2 linked regions of the Oreochromis niloticus genome follow. The main gene of each other region encodes a partner of the protein of the gene in region 2 in a complex. Links are inferred from orthologs where the notes say so. Each region holds a gene or a part of one and is shown on either strand. Other genes may lie near its edges.

Evidence for each region.
Region 1: the proteins of atp2a1 (region 2) and sln are in contact, whole or in part, in a crystal structure (PDB 3W5A), measured with the Oryctolagus cuniculus proteins. The link is inferred for Oreochromis niloticus from reciprocal best matches to the Homo sapiens genes ATP2A1 and SLN. Residues at the interface, in XP_069919846.1 of Oryctolagus cuniculus: Phe88, Val89, Leu96, Ala100, Ile103, Val104, Trp107, Arg110, Asn111, Asn114, Arg324, Lys328, Trp794, Leu797, Gly801, Leu802, Thr805, Ala806, Phe809, Trp932, Ser936, Leu939, Leu943, Leu946, Ile947, Val950, Pro952, Leu953, Ile956; in NP_001075856.1 of Oryctolagus cuniculus: Met1, Glu2, Arg3, Ser4, Thr5, Arg6, Glu7, Leu8, Leu10, Asn11, Phe12, Val14, Val15, Thr18, Val19, Leu21, Ile22, Trp23, Leu25, Val26, Tyr29.

Annotation. Positions count from the first base shown.
Region 1 is NC_031979.2:18,101,927-18,110,902, forward strand, and holds the start of sln (sarcolipin), read left to right. Parts: upstream 1-5,286; 5' UTR 5,287-5,441; intron 5,442-7,710; 5' UTR 7,711-7,970; intron 7,971-8,374; 5' UTR 8,375-8,434; coding exon 8,435-8,530; 3' UTR 8,531-8,976. Other genes in the region: alkbh8 (alkylated DNA repair protein alkB homolog 8), read right to left, coding at 461-598. UniProt on the Homo sapiens protein: Reversibly inhibits the activity of ATP2A1/SERCA1 and ATP2A2/SERCA2 in sarcoplasmic reticulum by decreasing the apparent affinity of the ATPase for Ca(2+). Also inhibits the activity of ATP2A3/SERCA3.
Region 2 is NC_031969.2:13,944,660-13,953,444, forward strand, and holds the start of atp2a1 (sarcoplasmic/endoplasmic reticulum calcium ATPase 1), read left to right. Parts: upstream 1-4,477; 5' UTR 4,478-4,638; intron 4,639-4,730; 5' UTR 4,731-4,749; coding exon 4,750-4,867; intron 4,868-5,853; coding exon 5,854-5,871; intron 5,872-6,321; coding exon 6,322-6,404; intron 6,405-8,785. UniProt on the Homo sapiens protein: Key regulator of striated muscle performance by acting as the major Ca(2+) ATPase responsible for the reuptake of cytosolic Ca(2+) into the sarcoplasmic reticulum.

The sequences.
Region 1 (8,976 bases), on a different chromosome or scaffold from region 2:
TTACTGGCTTAAAATGTTGATATTTCTCTGTAGTATAAAGTAGATTGTTCCCTTTTGCAATGAGCCCAATTTTTATGAACTCGTATTTGTATTTGTCTGCAGAAATAACAGCGTGAAATCCTTTGAGATAAATAGAAATAGTTCTTAAAACTGTCTCAGACTGCTGCAGGAACACAAAAATGAATCCCATTAAAAAGGAGCAAATGAAAAGTCTCTTATAACGAGTAAAATATTAAAAATATTTTCCATAAACAGCGGCTGATTTTCTTGTTAATTTAGCAATAATAATAACAACAATAATAATAAATATATATATAAAAAAAATATGAATAGAACAATTAAATATTAGATATGCAGATAACTTTTAATATCATTTTAATGTTAAAAAAACAAGCGAAAAAAATGAAAAATAATGAAACAGCGAACCATTTCCCGTCAAATAAACGTTATTTTTCTTTACCCTGGTAGGCTGCGGGGCCGTATGGATGCCTTCATGCTTCAGTAATGTGTGACTGGCTTTAATTTGTTTTCTGAGAAGTTTTTTCTCTTCTTTACTTCTCCTGACGGCCTTCACGTTGTTTTCCTCCCTAGCATCCATGGTACGTTGTTTTAATCCGTCCGGGTGCAACGGGGACTGAAAGACGTCGGTTCCCAAAGATTACGTCTCCAGGAGGAGACATTTTTTAGAATATAACTAAAGTGTTTATCTTACATAATTCTGATTTGTTAAGAATAAAATGAAATTATTACATGTGAATAAAAAATATATATGCACTTCTCGGAACTTTGTTAGCTACACCTGCTAACTTAATATCATCTTGTCTTACTCAGCCAATCACATGGCAGCAACTGAGTGCATTGACGTGGACGTCATTAGGACGACCTGAGGATTAGAATGGCAAAAAATGTGATTTATGTGACTTTGAACGTGGCATGGTTTTTGGTGGCAGATGGACTGGTCTGAGTGTTTCAGAAACCACTGATGTTCTGGGAAGGCTGTTCTAAAGATGAAAGGGAAGTGCATACCACTGAGTGCACATAATATATAAATCTGATCATATGAACATCAGTGAGACACTCATTCTTCTATTCCAGATGGATGACTCAGAGTGCCTCGCTTTTCCACAGTGTTTTTCTTGATTAGCATCCGCGCATTTTTTAAAATGTGCATCTGGACTTTGCCTGTCATTTTTCCAGCATCTGAAAGAATTTTGTCCACCCTAAACCATGCAGGCATAAGAGTACAGTATAGAACAAAGCACAGGTGGAGCTATGATGCTCTTGATGACCCCTGATCCAACAGTCTGGAATAAAGATGCAGATTCAAAAAAGAACCTGTGACTGTGACCATGTGACTTTTCTTTTCCTTGAGGTTGCATTTTGCATTACACGCATTTTCCCTTTGATGTCTTTGAGAGCAATCAGTGCAACATTGTTAAACTTGTTCTATTAGTCTTAAGTGTTTCTTTTCAGTTCTCTTCTCATGTCAAAGCTTCTGTTCTGTCCTTTGGCTCCGTTTTGCAGGCATTATATAAACTGTAATGTCAAATCCACTTGATATCCAACTTGATACAGTGGGGGATTAAATATCGAGTGTTGGACTCTACCTTTCCATTTTCAGTCATTTCATTTGTCTATCATCAGATTCAGCTTAAATATTGGTATCTGACACCGACAGTTGGTATCCTTCATATTTGTCATTTTCAACAAAGCACCATACACAACACAGCTGGACATATTCTGATCAGACACGAGCATTCACTCATATTCTAGCATGGGTATTGACTTGTGATTGATGTATTCTGCCCATCATTTTGTCTTTGATGCAGTGCCTGCCCTGGCCACTCTTCCCTGTCTGATTTCTCTCTCAGAGGGGCCAATTATCTCAGATCCTGCATCCAAATTCCTCTTCTGTCAGATGAATGACTCTGCAGCCCCTCTGAACATGAGTGCGTGTTCCAGCACGCGTGTCTCTCTGTGTTCTGAAACATTTGTGCGTGCGCCTCAGTGCTTTGCTGTGTCCCTTTGCATTTATACTCGGGCGTGTTGTGTAATGAGGCCTTCACCTGTCTTCTGCCATCTCCGTAATTACACTGCTGGCCAGTGCGAGCCCTCGGTCGTCTCAACGGCACACTCTGTTTATCCTACAAAACAACAGCTGGTCAGGCAGGAGAGCATGTGGCTGCCCTCTCCCAACATGATAACAACATTCTGCTCTTTTTTTAAGTACTCAAATAAATTAAACCCATTTATCACTGTTGGGGGTGATATCAGGTGCAATATCAGTAAGAATTAAAGCTTTAACCTCTAGTAATGTTGCACAGAGTTTTTATAACACATGGATCAGTTTTGTTTACTTGGAGATGGGAAGAATTTCTAAACCACTTTCAGGGCCTTCAGTGTCTTCCAAGTCTCCACTGGCTTAAAACCCAAGGTTTGAGTTTCATTTTTGGAACAGAAAGCAAACATCCCATGCTAAAAGCCCAATTTAGAAGCTAATGAATGATCCAATAATGACTCAGTGACAGAATCCTATCCTTTGTCAACTCCAGTTCCCAGAGTCAAAAATAAAATTTGGACCTGAAAACGCAGATATCATTTTAACATTACATTTCTCATTTGGTTGGCCATACACAAACGTCTTAAATACTAAGGTGAAGAAGTTAGCATTAACATTGCACCAAGTGGAAATGCTTGAAGCTGCACAGTAATTCAGGTATTCCTCGTGCCATTGTTCAAGGGCAGCTTCACCTTCAGCACCAGCCAAACTCTCAAAAGCAATGTAATGGTGAGAACACAAGTGGAATCACTTCTGTACCCTGAGGCATGCCATCAACCTTTGAAATGCAAGACCGGTAGCTATTTGCCAAACTCCTGCTGCTGGCATCTTTGTATTGTAATTAGCTGGGACCACAGGATGAAGAAACCAGATGCTGCCTTTTAAAATAGTGACTCTGATGTCTGCCTCTCTCTGGAGACGTGTGAGCAGATGGTTGGTGGTTTGAGAAAGGTGAGTTATAAAAACTGCAGTCTATCAAAAATATTCAACATCTGCCAATGGTGGTTATGTCTTTTCATGCATACGGAGAAAGAGAAGCATGAAATTAGTAATAATGACAAATCATCAACACAAAATATTACCATTCCTGCAGAAGACAAAAGATTAGCCTATTCAAGGACTAACAGGGAGGGGTAAGGATGGGCAGAAATAGAAGCTAAAGCATCAGATTTTATGTTGAAATATTTTAACCGGTCAAAATATTTAGAGGTCTGAGAAGTGTGTTTGGAGATCCATCTGATCTGTGTATAATCTCTCTGCCAGAATAGCAGTCAGCTGGGATGAAGTCCTATCCTCTGATAATTGCTATGGCAAAGATCTGGCCACTACAAATGAGCAAAGTTGTGAGCTAAATAATTTTCCAGTGCCAGCTATTTATAGACCAATGTTCAGACTAACCCACAGTATTTAATGAATATAGGGAACTTGTGACATGATATCTTCCACAACCTAAGGCCAAGAAAGCCAATTAATGTTTTTACTGGCACTGGAATGAAATGCACCTTTTAGGGCTAAACGAATATATAAAATAGAATAAACATATGTTCCACCATTTTTTGGGGAATGCAAAAATATTCAACTTCTATCAGGTTTAATTCAGAGACATGAATTCTAAGGTAATTTGTTATAATCTAAACACTGGATTCTAATTTGAAATTAGATTTGCTGTATTTTGGTAAGACTCATACCATGCTCAGACATATGCTGTCTGCTCTAACACAAACGCCATTGAGGAGATAATATTAGCTTAGTTTACCATAGCATAGCATAGCTAGTTAGTAGCTAGTTAAAGAATTGTTTTCTTATGTTATAAAATAAAGTTGCCATATAATATGGGTTCCTCTTCCCACTTGTTACAATGCAGCCTGTTATACTATACTAACACCAAGAGTGCAATAGACAAGCATGCCGAAGTTACAGGTTGCAGTAAGTTGCAGTAAGATGCAGTACCACCAAAGGGAGATTTTATTTCAAGCCAGCATAAAAATAATCACAGGAAAGCATTTAAAGAGACATTACTTACACATTTACATGTAAGTACAAATTAGCCACCTAGCTTAATTGTTGTAGGATAGAAGGACCCGGGAATGTACTTGGTTACTCGGACTTCTTGGCTTTAAACACACTATTTCCCCCTCCAGATATTGCAATTTCTGGATGTACTGCAGTTTCTGCATTTCATGCTTTGCCATGATATTGGGTTGGTTGTTTACATGCTAAAATTAGGTCATTTTAGTCTGGTGCTAGGTGGCTGCCAGACATGTGTAATTCAGCCTTTGTGGATATAAATTATATGCTACTGTCAATAGATTAAAACGATAGAGTTCATAAGGTGTTAAAACTAAAACCAGGTCATATTAGCCTATTGCTAGGTGGTTGCTAAGCAATATGGTGGCATCAGAATATATTAGGCATAATTCAGTGTGCGTGGTTATAAATAAGATGTTCTTGTCATGAAATAAAAATCATACAATGTGGTCAGTCTTATAGTTTATAAATTATAAAAAGGAGTAATTTTAGCTTGTTGCTCTGGTTGCTAGGCAACATGATGACTCCACATTATCCTATATAGATAAGAACCTTCAGGCATTGAATAGATACCTGATGGTCTAGGAGGAGTTTGTGGACAAACAAACGAACAAAAACACATACAGACAATGATTTTTGTGTATTACTGTAATATTTTTATTAGTAGTAGTAGTAACTGCCATGACAAGAGAATTTTCCCTAGAGCTGGAATAAATAAAGCATATCTTATATTTTAGATGTGTTGCTCTGATTCCGACACATTACTGCTATTATTTAATTTCCATAATGTTCACAGTTGGAAACTGTCACCACCACATTAACTTACACATCAGAATAAACATAGTGATATTGCATTCAATAAATGGATGTGTATACACACACACACATACATCTAGCGTCCCAGAATCTGTGGAATGGTGTTTCTGAGGCCTTGTTGACACCCCTCTGTCTCTCCTCAGATTTAGAGGGCAACTCTCCCAGCACTTTTCTATCTTAAATGCACACACAGCTGTCACAGTGGGCCATAGTCCACCCCGCACAGAGATGCCAGCACAATTCACGCTGTGTTATTCAATCACCCCAGAATTGGATCTCTGTGACAATGGGAATCCCTGGGTGAAATAGCTCTTGGTCTGAGGCTGGCAGAGCAGCAGGGTGATAAAATTCAACCGGTTTGATCTGTTTAATCCTCAGGGAATGGCCTTGGAATCCTGCGATGGAAAGGTTCAAGTGATCTGTGCTCGGACTTTGTCCTTCTGTGGCCCCTCTGTGTGTGCAGGAGAAAGTGTGTTTGTCAAGGGGGTTTAACACTAGGTCAGAGATAACACCGTTTTTAGCAGCTGTCAAGTGTGAGGTGAGTTGAGATGTTTGCTTTGATGAAATGTCAAAATCCTTCTCTTAGCACCAGCATAATACAGAATATCGGGAATCCACAAAAGAACGATAACCTATTCTCAATTTAGTTTCTATTAAAGGAAAGCTGTGGATGATATTTTGAGACAGATGAGATACTTGATACTGCTTTAATGGCTCCAAGTAAATTCTAAAGCTGCAGCAAACAGTTATCAGCCAAGCCAAGCAAGCAGTTAGCTTAACTTAGCATTAGCAATAACGGAAAATACTACACTAAGCAAGCTAAAAATCAGATAATATCTTACACAGAGAATACTTTAGTACATATATTTTTATATAATTAATTATTCACTGGCTATATGCACTCACCAGCTTCTTAATGACGTACACCTTGCTAGTACAGTTTTGGTTTATCTTCAGAGCTGCCTTAATTCTTCTTGGCATAGACTCAACGCGGTACTCGAAACATTCCTCAGATATTTTAATCCATAATGTTATGATAGCATCAGACAGTTGCTGCAGATTTGTCAGCTGTGCATCCATGATGGAAATCTACCTGTTCTAATACACCCCAAAGGTGCACTCTCGGACTGAGATCTGGTGACTGTGGAGGCCATTGGGTACAGTGAACTCAATGTTCAAGAAACCAATTCGCGATGATTTGAGCTTCGTGGCTTGGTGTTTTATCCTGCTGGAAGCAGTCATCAGAAGATGGGAACACTGTGGCCATAAAAGGATGAACATGGTCAGCACCACTCAACTAGGCTGCGGTATTTAAGCAATGATCAGTTGGTACTAAGGGGACCAAAGTGTGCCAAGGAAATATCCCCCACACCATTACACCACCACCACTAGACAGGATGGATCCAAGCTTTTAAGATGTTTATACCATATTCTGCACCTACTATCTGAATGTCGCAGGAGGAATCAAGACTCTTCAGACCAGGCAACACTTTTCCAAACGTCTGTTGTCCAGTGTTAGTGAACCTGTTTGTATTGTGTCCTCGGTTTTCTGTTCTTAGATGACAGTAGTGGCACATGGTGTGGTCTACCGCTGCTGGAGCCCAGCTGCCTCAAGATTCATCATGTTGCTTGTTCAAAGCTGCTCTTTTGCAGACTGTGGCTGTAACGAGTGGTTGTTTGAGTTGCTGTTGCCTTCCCATCAGCTTTAAACAGTCTTCCCATTCTCATCTGACCTCTGACATGAAAGAGAACTAGATAGCTTGCCTTTTCTAGACCGTTTTCTGTAAACCCCAGAGATGTTTGTGTGGCAAAATCCCAGTAGATCAGCAGTTTCTGAAATGCTCTGACCAGTCAGCCTGGCACCAACAACCATGACACATTCTAACTCACTTAAATCACCTTTCTTGCCCTTTCTGATGCTCAGTTTGAACTTCAGCAGTTGTCTGACTATGTTTGCTAGCCTAAGTTAAGCTGCTGCCCTGTGATTGACTGATTCGATATTTATGTTTACAAGCAGTTGAACAGTTGTAGCTACCACTATGGCTGGTGGGTATAAAGATGTACGTATTATGCTAATTTTTGTTATATTGATATATAATACCAATCCATCCCATTACTATCCAGCCCTGCCTGGCTTTGTCAAAAAGTAACAGTAGGATAATAACCACTAATCAGCACTGAGTAACAATTTCTTTAATCTGTAGAAAAGATGAGAAATTCAGATTAGGTCCAGGCATAATCAAGGGGTTTAATTTTTTTGCTTTGCCCACCCACATGTGTGCATTCTACTAAGAGCATTATGTATCCTCTGTATCTTCATCCATCAAGGATAAGCAACTTAATGAAGGGTGCAAGCCACTGTGCTTGACACCCCTCTGTAATCAGTACCTATTTGAAATTCCACGTAAGTGTGTATTCTGATGATATCATCATACTTTTGGGCCATTACAAATTCTTTGCTTTTAAGTTGAGAAGGGACTCGATAGGCAACTGGTTAACAGAGGCTTCAGTTGGTTTAATACAAGCATGCCTGGTATTTTACATTTTGAAGAGACTGCTCCTGAGGACAATTCCTCTGATACTGAGCGATATTGTTAGTTTCCTATATCCATTGGATGATACAAGTATTGTGTTTGGAACAACTGTAATCCACCAAGTATCTCCAATAATGTGTTATAAATAACCCTGAGACCCTCCTCTGTTGTGTGTGTGTGTGAGAGCGAGAGAGACAGACTCTGTATGGTTATGGGTAGGAAAACTCCAGTGGATGAGATTGTGGAAAATAACACACTCTATTGGTTGTTTAGTTGGTGTGTGACATCAGTCGGTGTGTATGTGAACCATGGGCGGTCCACTGAGGTTGGCTACTTTAGGAGCAGGCCCTGCCCCTGGCAACAGCAGAAAACTGGACAACAGCAAGAAACAGATGCTACAGGGGAGAACTGCTGCAATCGAGACATTTCCAAGAAGAAGAAACACTTCTCTTGGAGGGCAAGGCAAGGAGCGGACGATAACATTTGCTTTCTCTTTATCCTGTTCATAGTGGGATCACAGCCAAGCAAGCAAGGTAACAGCGACTGTGACTGGGTCTGGCTTTGTGTTATTGTCCTCAGTAAAGCCTCAGTTTTGCCAGTTTTATGTAAGCTATTAATGGCACATATCAAAACTATCAAAACAGCCCAACTTCTAAATGTATAGAACATGTTTAATCTGATTTATTAGTGTATTAGCGTGTATGCTTTGTGTGTGTTTCTGTCCCATGTTAATATGAGGGGATGTTGTTGTCCTTTTCTTTGCTGACCTTTGGTGACTGTAAACAGTAACCCAGCAGAGAAGTCACTGATCCCTCCAACCTGTTGTAAGAGGGACTGCATAAACCAGCACAGAGCATGTGCACCATTGTGTATTGCATTTTTGTCTACACTCTAACAACTGAAACACAGTTTCTTTTTCCTACCTCTGTCTTAAAAGTTTACAGCAACCGACCTCTCCTCGACTGTCTCACCTATCCTCTCCATCCAGCACGCTGCCATGGATCGCTCGGTGCAGGAGCTGTTCCTCAACTTCATGATCGTCTTAATCACTGTGCTGCTGATGTGGCTGCTGGTGAAAACTTACCAGGACTAAAAAATTAAGCAATGAGAGAGGACACGGACGTGAGGCGGAGGGGATGGAGAGACACGTGCGTCGGGAAACTGGCGTGGTTATCGGAAGACTTGGCCGCTGGCTAAAGTGAATACAGTGTTTACACCTACAGCTCTGCTTATTCATGTGAGGTCAACAATAAGTGGTTACTATAGCCGGGACAAACTATGAATGATAAAATAGTTCACAATCTGTATTTTTAGTGTTTTTTGTTTTGTTTTTTGAATAAGGCCATGAATGTGAAATCACAGCAGAGTGGTCAGGGTTAATAAATAAGAATGAAATTGTTGAAAACCCAAATGGGATGGCTTGAAAACGCAAAAAAAAAATGCAATGTCACTATAAACAGGAGTGCATACCATAGCCTGTATGTCTAAGTGCCCAAATCATTTAACAATGCTGTTGTGTCCAATTTTTCAGTTTTTTTT
Region 2 (8,785 bases):
CTGTTTGTCCGTGATGCTGCGGGACTTAAATTTCCTTAAGTCAACAGTCGTGACACTGAACCCCGTGAGTGCTTGCACCTTGAAAGTGTGAAGTCAACCAAAGTAAATCTTATTGTTCAGCGCTGGAAAGAAAATGCAGATTATTTATATTTAAAAAGAATAATAGGAAGAAAAGCTTGTATTTTACATTTACACCACTGAGCTGCGCTTGTGTAATCAAGTTGAGTCGTTATCCAAAAATAGCTCGACAAATTGCGTAATCTGTCTCTGCAGTAAAAGTGTTCTTTCTAATTAAAATCTCATCACAAACACAGCCGGCTCAAATGATTTTACACGCATGATACACGCCTAATCATTCTTTCCACGTAATGATCTTAAAAGTGTCTTCTAGAAATCCCATTCTCATTGTTCAAGATCACACAAGAGCGTGTGTGTGCCTCTCCGCAGGCGGTGCAGCATTATCACTGCTGTGTTTTATTAGTATTAGAGCACAGTGTTTAGATCGAGGCGCAGTAATCTGATCCCTGGGGGAGATTGAGCTAAATGTCAGTGAGCCACCTTGAGCTTTGCACTGCTACAGCCGGGCCCACGACAGCATCGAGGGTTACAAGTGAAGCACACAAAGGAGGGTTTCCAACACAGACCGCAGCCTGCAGGGGAGACGGAGATAGACAGAAGCAAGACTGAATGTAAATGTAGGGTTAGAAAAAGAAAAAAGATGGTAAAGATTAGAGAGATAAGAGTTAAGAGGAAGTAGGGGAGTATTGTATAAGTATGACTTATGAGAGTGGGTGGCCACATCTGAGTTCACAAAAATGACCTTTGTTATCTTAAGACTAAGAAGATGTTATTATATAACAACAAGTATCTACATGTTTTTTTAAACCTGTGAAACATTTTATAAGAGGGTTTTAAACAGCATTAATGTGTGAATCCTTCATTTCTGACCATATAAATTACAAGCATGTAATTTCATTACAGTCCGCTGAATGTCTTCTGCTTCTTCTTCTGGCTGCTTCCTTTAAGGGTCGCGTCACTGCCTCCAGCTCACCCTATCCCTAGCATCCTCCTCAGGCACACCAACCCTCTGCGCGTCCTCCTTCACTACATCTGTGTATCTTCTCTGTGATCTTCCTCTTTTCCTCCTGCTTGGCAGCTCCATGTTCAGCATCTCTTATCCAGCATGTCCACTCTCCCTCCTCTGCACGTGTCAAAAACATCTCATTTTGCTACTCAGATGAAAGTATGATCTGTAAACTTAAACCTAAATGATATTTTTATTTAGTTCTTGGATTTTCATAGTTATGAATGTTGGACTTTAAAATAGAAAAATGACCATTCATCTTATTGTTGAGCTGTAGCTGTTCAACTTAACTGTACACTTTCATTTTCAGAAGCATCGGTCAGTTATTCTCCCCTAAAAACTTCAAAAAGCCCAAATAGATCAAATTTGGTCCAGTCACTTTATTTCTATAGCACATTTAAACACTGCAGACATTAACCAAAGTGCTGCACAGCACTAATAAATAATAAATACATAAATAATGCACTGTGAATAAAAGCTAATCTGAATCTAGTGTGCGTTTATTTAAGCATTTGTATGGATATAGTTGTTAATGACCTTCAGCCTGAGAACCAGAGGACAAATCTTTCTTAGAACATGGAGTGCTCTTTCTTACAGAGGTGCGAATACAGCCAGTGTGGGAGACCATAACGGACAAACGGGATTCATAGCACATTGAACCATAGCTTATACACTGATGTATCCCGACTGTGTTTGTTTGTGTTTGGTAGTTCTTTTACTTTATGCAAACAAAAGGCCGTAAATAGGGCCAAATCTTCATATTTATCAAAGAAAGAGAAAAAACGTTCCCTTTACAGGTGGTTGAGACAAACACAGAGCATCTTTCAGTCTGACATTCATGAAGTGATTATTACTCATGTGCAGGTGGTGTAATAATATGTAATAGTACAGTATGTAGGGAATTTTCTACCATATCAGGTGTCTTGAAACACAGAAGCAACCTTTTTGATAAAAGCCTGGTCGTATCGGCCTAAAAAGAAACATGAAGCCCGCGGTGTGTTAACAGGTTATTTCTGCAGCCTCTAATTGCCATAACCTTTTTTTGCCGTTGCTGGTTTTAAAGACTTGTAAGTCAATTTGCAGCTGATAACAGGTCCCAGCAGGGTTCCCGTCTGTTTACACTTGGCCGTGCATTATGTTTTCAGCATGGGCATGCACATGCATTTTCACACCTGTTGCTTTGTCATGTGATATATGTGACGACAAGGTAACCGAGACCAGACCAGTTGGGACCGTGGATGTATTATAAGAACTGAGTACTGGACTCAAATATGGCACCTGCCCCCCCTAGAATGACAATTTCTGACCTCACACACAAACCAAAAACTTGCAAGCCCCTGTGTTGTGCTCTGAGGTTCGGAGTGCTGTAACATGACAAGAGGGAAGGTGGAGAATGGGGTGATACATAGTGAAACATTACAATAGGTTTAAAAATACAAAGAGGAGTCACCTGTAATAGACTGCCGTGCTGCCTAGGGTGTATCCCAGCTCTCGCCCTATAACAGCTGGGATAGGCTCCAGCACCCCCTGCAACTCTGAATTGGAAAAGCACTTGGATGGATTGATGGATGGATGGATGGATGGATGGATGGATGGATGGAAATTCATCATAAAACTATAAAAGTCATTCATCTGCTTTCTGAGTCAGTCCACAAGTACATTTGTTTTATTGAAAAAGTATTAATCTCCACTGCATTCAAGGAGTGTTTCTTCAAATTGCTGCACGTGAGTTGTCATAACTGCTCAAGACAAGATAACCTTTATTAGTCCCACATTTTTAAAATTCATATTATTACAACAGAAAAATTAATAGAGTTAAATAGAATAAATAGAAGCAGTATAATCTATAATCTACAAAGAGTCACAACTGGCAAAATGAAATAAACATATGATTAAATAATTAATTAAATGTATCATCAGTTAATTACAATTGGAAAAAATAGTTAAATATATACACAATTAATAAAATATCAGTTCATTTCATGTAAAACATTTTAATTCATTAAAATGTTATTTTAATTTTGTGTTTTAATAAATATTTATTCATTTCCAATTTTAATTAATTAATGAAGCATGTAATTTACTATTTAATGATCGTTCATGCATTTTGGCACTGTAACAACAGTACTATGCAAAAAAAGAAAATATATGTGTGTGTGTGTGTGTGTGTGTGTGTGTGTGTGTGTGTATTACCAATTAATAATACTTATTATCAGAAAAGTTATCCATATATCTTCTTTTGATATATGGATAACTTGATAGTAAACAGGTCCAGTGGAATAAGCACTAAGATATTTTAGATGACCTTATATTTAAAACTATATTACTTTGCGGAGTTTCCTTTGAGCCTTTGATAATAGTATACTGTGTACTGTGTACCAAAGTGGCCATGACTCCTCAGTAAATGTTTTATTTTGTTAAAACCCTTGAATTAAAGTTGAAAGTCTTCACTTCAATCACACCTAGATCACCTTACAGAGGTAAAAGCAAAAGAAAAGGTGACACTCTCCATAAACACATGGTTTAACTTTATTATCCAGCCCAGTTTAAAAAAAAGTTGGCAGTGTAAAATGGTGATAAAAAATATATTGATTACCAAACTGTATAAAAACTTATATTTAATTGAAAATAGTGCAGAGCAGGCATATTGAAAAGCCACAATTGATGAAATATTTAATGAAATGTATCAACAGGTGCACCTCAGTATTAACACAGAACATGAACTTTGAAATATCCATCAGCAACCTAAGATTCTGATTCATCAAACCACTGGATATTTGGATGCTTTAGGTGATCTTGTGCTGGTAGAAGACGTACATGTGCCTGGATCACACATCACACTGATGTGGGGTTTATTTGAAGGGTGGGATGCATGACCATTCAATTTTGGTTTTCAGTCTCATGTCCTCCACTTAATAATTTCTCATCTGAGAAGTTTAAGAAGATGAAAATTTTCAAAACACATGAAACAAGTCAAGGGGCCTCCAAGCAGTCCAAATCTGAAGGTTGGGAACTGCTTAAAAATCAGGTACTCGAAATATGCCTGAAAAGTCGACATCTCTCAGTGTCTTTTACGTTTCTTTGTCCACGTGTGTCTACAGACATGTGGACACACACGTGCCCACCAGTGTCCATTCAGACAGTCTTTATGTTGCCTCTCCATGCTAACCATGCATGTTCTCTTATGCACATCTTATTTCCAGCATGCTGGGACCCCTCTGCAGTTGCTGCCCTCTACCCCCTCCACCTCTCCCCCTCCCTCCCCCTGCCTATTCTTTACCACGGGGGCCATCCCTGCCCACCTATTTGTGACGTTCTCATCCAATGAGAGGGGGGTGCATGGTGGACAAGCACCAATGGGGCAACTTTTTCATCGCTATAAAACTTTTCAGGACAGTTTGCAGGGTTGCACTTTCTGTCGGTCCAGGGCTCCGAGAGGAGAGCAACAGCCCAGAGAGAGAGAGAGAGAGAGAGAGAGGGGGCAAAGTGAGAGCAAGTGTGAACGCACAGGGAGTTGCCAGTTTTTAATCCTAATCCCACTCTTCAAGAAAGTGGTGGGTAGAATGCCGCATCATTTGTTTTACGTTTCAGTGTTTGGCCAGCTGTAATTTCTCTCCATTTTTTTTCTATCCCTTTTGTCTCGAAGCCTCTCCGTTTAAGTAAGGATGGAGAACGCACACACCAAAGAGTCGGAAGACGTTCTGGCCTACTTTGGCGTCACTGAAGACACCGGCCTGTCACCTGAGCAGGTTAAGAAGTGCCTGGAAAAGTATGGCTACAATGGTGAGGGAAACAAAAAGATGGATGGATGGCCTGATGGATGCATGGATGGAGCACTTAGATGAAGCTTTTGATGCAGAGTGGAAAGAAAGAGCAGTAGAAAATGATGGTGAATGACATGATGGGGAGGTCCAGGAGAAGGAGTACATGCATCAGATTTAGCTTGAATGAGAGGCGGCATATGTACGGGGTGCCTCGGAGGTTAACAAGATAAAATGGCAGGAGCAGAGACACTGAGGGAAATGGGAGGGGAAGGTGAAGGAGGACAAGTAGCGGCAGTGTCGGTTTCAAAGCCGTGTGTGACTTTGTGATGCTGGTCTAATTAAGGGAAACTATCCGACTGACACAAAGCAGGAGTTATGTTTGTGGAGCAGGTGCCTCAGGGTGTCAAGTTCCTGACAACTGCTACTGGTTTTAGTTTAGATTGGGGGTAATTTATTTGTATTTTGAAACTGAGCGCACGACAGTCAAATATGTTGACTCAAGGTCAACATATTTACTTTTGTCTCGGCAGATGGAGTTTGCTGAGTTGCAGTCTCATTGAGCTTTATAAAGAAAGCATCAGAGGCCTCTTTTTTTCTTGCTTATCACAGCAGGGAAAGCGTAGGCATGAATGTAAATGTACCCACATTACTGCTTGGCTTAAGGGTTCAAATAACCGGAACTGGAAAATCATGAATATTCCTACCTCTGCTTCACATTTAATTCACTGGGAAAAAAAGTCCTTAATTCAGTAAAATGAAGAGGAATCATGTTTTTTGAGAATGCAATTTGGAGTAAAGTGTTACTGTTTATTGGAGCAGGGCCTCAGTTTGGTGAAGAAAGTGTAAATTGTGCAATGTAATGCTTCCTTTATACTGTGTATTTTGTACTCGATGGTTTTACGGTCAAATCGATTGACCTGGCTGCATGTTTCACTCTGCAAATATCAGAACGAATGTAGTAAGTGGTGTGCTTTACTAATGTTCTCTGTCTCTCATCACCAACAGAGCTGCCAGCAGAGGAAGGTGAGCCAACCCGAAACATTACACACCTGCAAGCTTCCTTTAACATCCCTGTACAGCTGTTCCTCTCACTTCCTGTCATGACTGCTCCCTTGCGTGTGTGTTTACCACTTGTTACTGACTCCAGTATGGTAATGATGTATCTACACCACACACTGCTCGAGAAACTAATGGATTGTGTCCACATCGGTTGTGCATTGAACTCAAACTAAAGCAGCAACAGTCTTTGCTGCTGGTTTTGGAGCAGCCCAAAGTGGTGGGAGGATATTAAAACAAACAATCATCATTAATCAAATATGTGTTTTCACCTAAATCACAGTCACTGCCTTTTCCATTTAACCCGGTTTGTTCATCAGTCTTACATGTATAATCACAGGAATTCTTAACACTGTATCAACATTGAATTTGATTTAATAGATGGGCTATGTCTATTTATTTGAATGTGTTTATCAGGCAAAAGTATCTGGGAGTTGGTGGTGGAGCAGTTTGAGGACCTGTTGGTCAGAATCCTTCTACTGGCAGCCTGCATCTCTTTTGTGAGTTTCATGATGCAAAGCATTCGACCATCCATTTATCCAATGCAAAGCACCTACTTATGTAATATTCATGAAGTGTTCAATGCACAGAGCTTGCTCACGTTCAAAAATTTCTTCTTCATTCTTCATCATCTTGTAGTGAAAATATATATTTTTCTATTTGTGTAGAGGTGCCCCTTCCATCCCTGTCTTACATTTACTATCACCAGATCCATTCAAAAGTAAATGGAAAAAGCAGAAAATAACATAATGTTTCAAGCAGAGGAAGACTAGCCACCACAATGAATGAAGGAAAAGGACATTTTCTCAGCAGTGCATGTAAAAGTTGTGTTTGCTATTTCAGTGATGGACACCACATGTAGTAGATTCTCTAATCTCTTCCTGTATTTCAGACATCATGTGTCTAATTACTTTTCTTTTCACTCTTTTGCATAACTTTCCAATTTACCTCAAATATGAACATTTTCTCCAAGAAAATCAACTTTTAGATATCTTTCAGATCACACGTTTGATGGGTTATTTAGGATTAAGCTGAGGTTGAGCAGTTAGAAAGTCTAGTTAGCAATTTACATTCGTTGTCCTGCAGCAGCAGTTGTCAGTGGTGAGTTGTGTTTCACCGGTCTGCAGTTCCCAGAAGCCGTACAGTAAAAGTGCAAGGGTCTCAGTTTGGTGCTCACACCTGAGAAGGCCTGAAACATTCTTGAACTCTGCCAGATTTGTGGGCATATTTCCTTTAAACTGTGAGAAACATAGTTTAGCACTGTAGCAATGCTTAAGGTACATTTTCTCTCGATTACCAGGGCTGAATGTATCACAGAGTTATATCAAGATGTTAACGGGGGGTGGGGGGGGGGGTTTGAAGCTAGAGCTAACCCTGCTCATGTAGATGATTTTTAGACTCTACCTCTGATTTAAACTTCAGAATATGTGGCAACTGAAGTTAAACACCCCCAATTTGTTGCCTTTTAAGTCTTGATTTTATGTTACGGTTTATCAACCTTGTTCTTACATAATTGGGGGCTTGTCTGGGATCTGGAGCTGCATCTCTTTTGACTCTTTACCAAACACAGACACACACTTCAGCTGACAAAACATCATGCACATCATCACGTTATTAGATTACCTTTAGTGCCACTCTCATTGACACCAGGAATCCCTCTCCCCTCCTTGTTGCTCTCGCCAGTGCAGTTTTATGAAGGCGACTAGGTTCTTCACATTGTTTTAATCTTCGATTGCTCCCCTCAGGGCTCCCTCTACAGCTGTCACTATAGCCTTAGAAGGCCTGACGTGCTGCGTGTGAAATAGCGAGAGAACAAGAGAAAGACGAAAAGAGAGTGGCAGTGCATGTGCATGGCAGGACCTTTATTTTAAGAAAGTCTCAAGCCAGGACGAGAAACTATATCCTTAGACAAAGGTCAGGGATGGAAGGAACGAGGGATTGCTTGCAGCAGCAGGAGAGAGTGAGAGACAGCGAAGAGGGCGGGGGGGGCTGGGGATTGGGTTGCACAATGGCATTGTCTGTTACAATGACAAATGAGCGCAATAGATTCAGAGTCATATATGGTTTCTAAAAGAGAGAACACTAAATACTGCAAATACATGGTCATCCTATTCATACACACAGGAATGCTCGACCACTGCAAGGTGTTGACAGGCCCTGACGCTCAGTCTGGAGATCGATTGTGTCTTTGAAGAGAAGCACAGTGAAGACAGACTGGAGAGAGCAAGCAATCAAGCCTATTTTTTTTTAAAAAGGGGTGAGAAAAGATGTGAGATGAAAAGCAGGCGAATGGAAAACAAGGAAGACTGTGATGCTGAGCTAAATGCTAAATGCTATAAAGGAAGGATGGGAGGACTTTACTCTTTTCTCTCCACTTGGGTCCATGCTCCGGTGGCCTGCAACTAATCTGTGTCAGTGTCAACACGAGGCCTTTCCGAAACACACCAGCATCAGTAACGTGTAGCTCCTGCTCACAGGGGCGCACACGTGCACGAATATTGGTTTAGAAAAAAGTCACATGGGGAGGATTTCATACATAGAATATCATACAGCACAACAGTGACAAAGAGAAATGTCATTTGATCCTACAGCGGTGCAGAAATAGCTCAGAGCCGTGACAAATATATGTTTATGTTTTATGCTACTCAGCAGTAAAAGATAATACTCTCACCCTGAGCGACAGGTGCACAACAAACGTAAAGACACTTTTGTATCACGGGCTTAGCGATAGTAACAATGTATAATTTTAACTCGAGAGGAAAGTGTCGGTACATTAAATCACCAAACCCAGCAGTGGAGCGCTCATGACAAGCTAGCAGTGACATAAAGCAAAAATCCCTTTAAATAACCTGACAATGTTTCTTGCATGTGTAGTATTTAA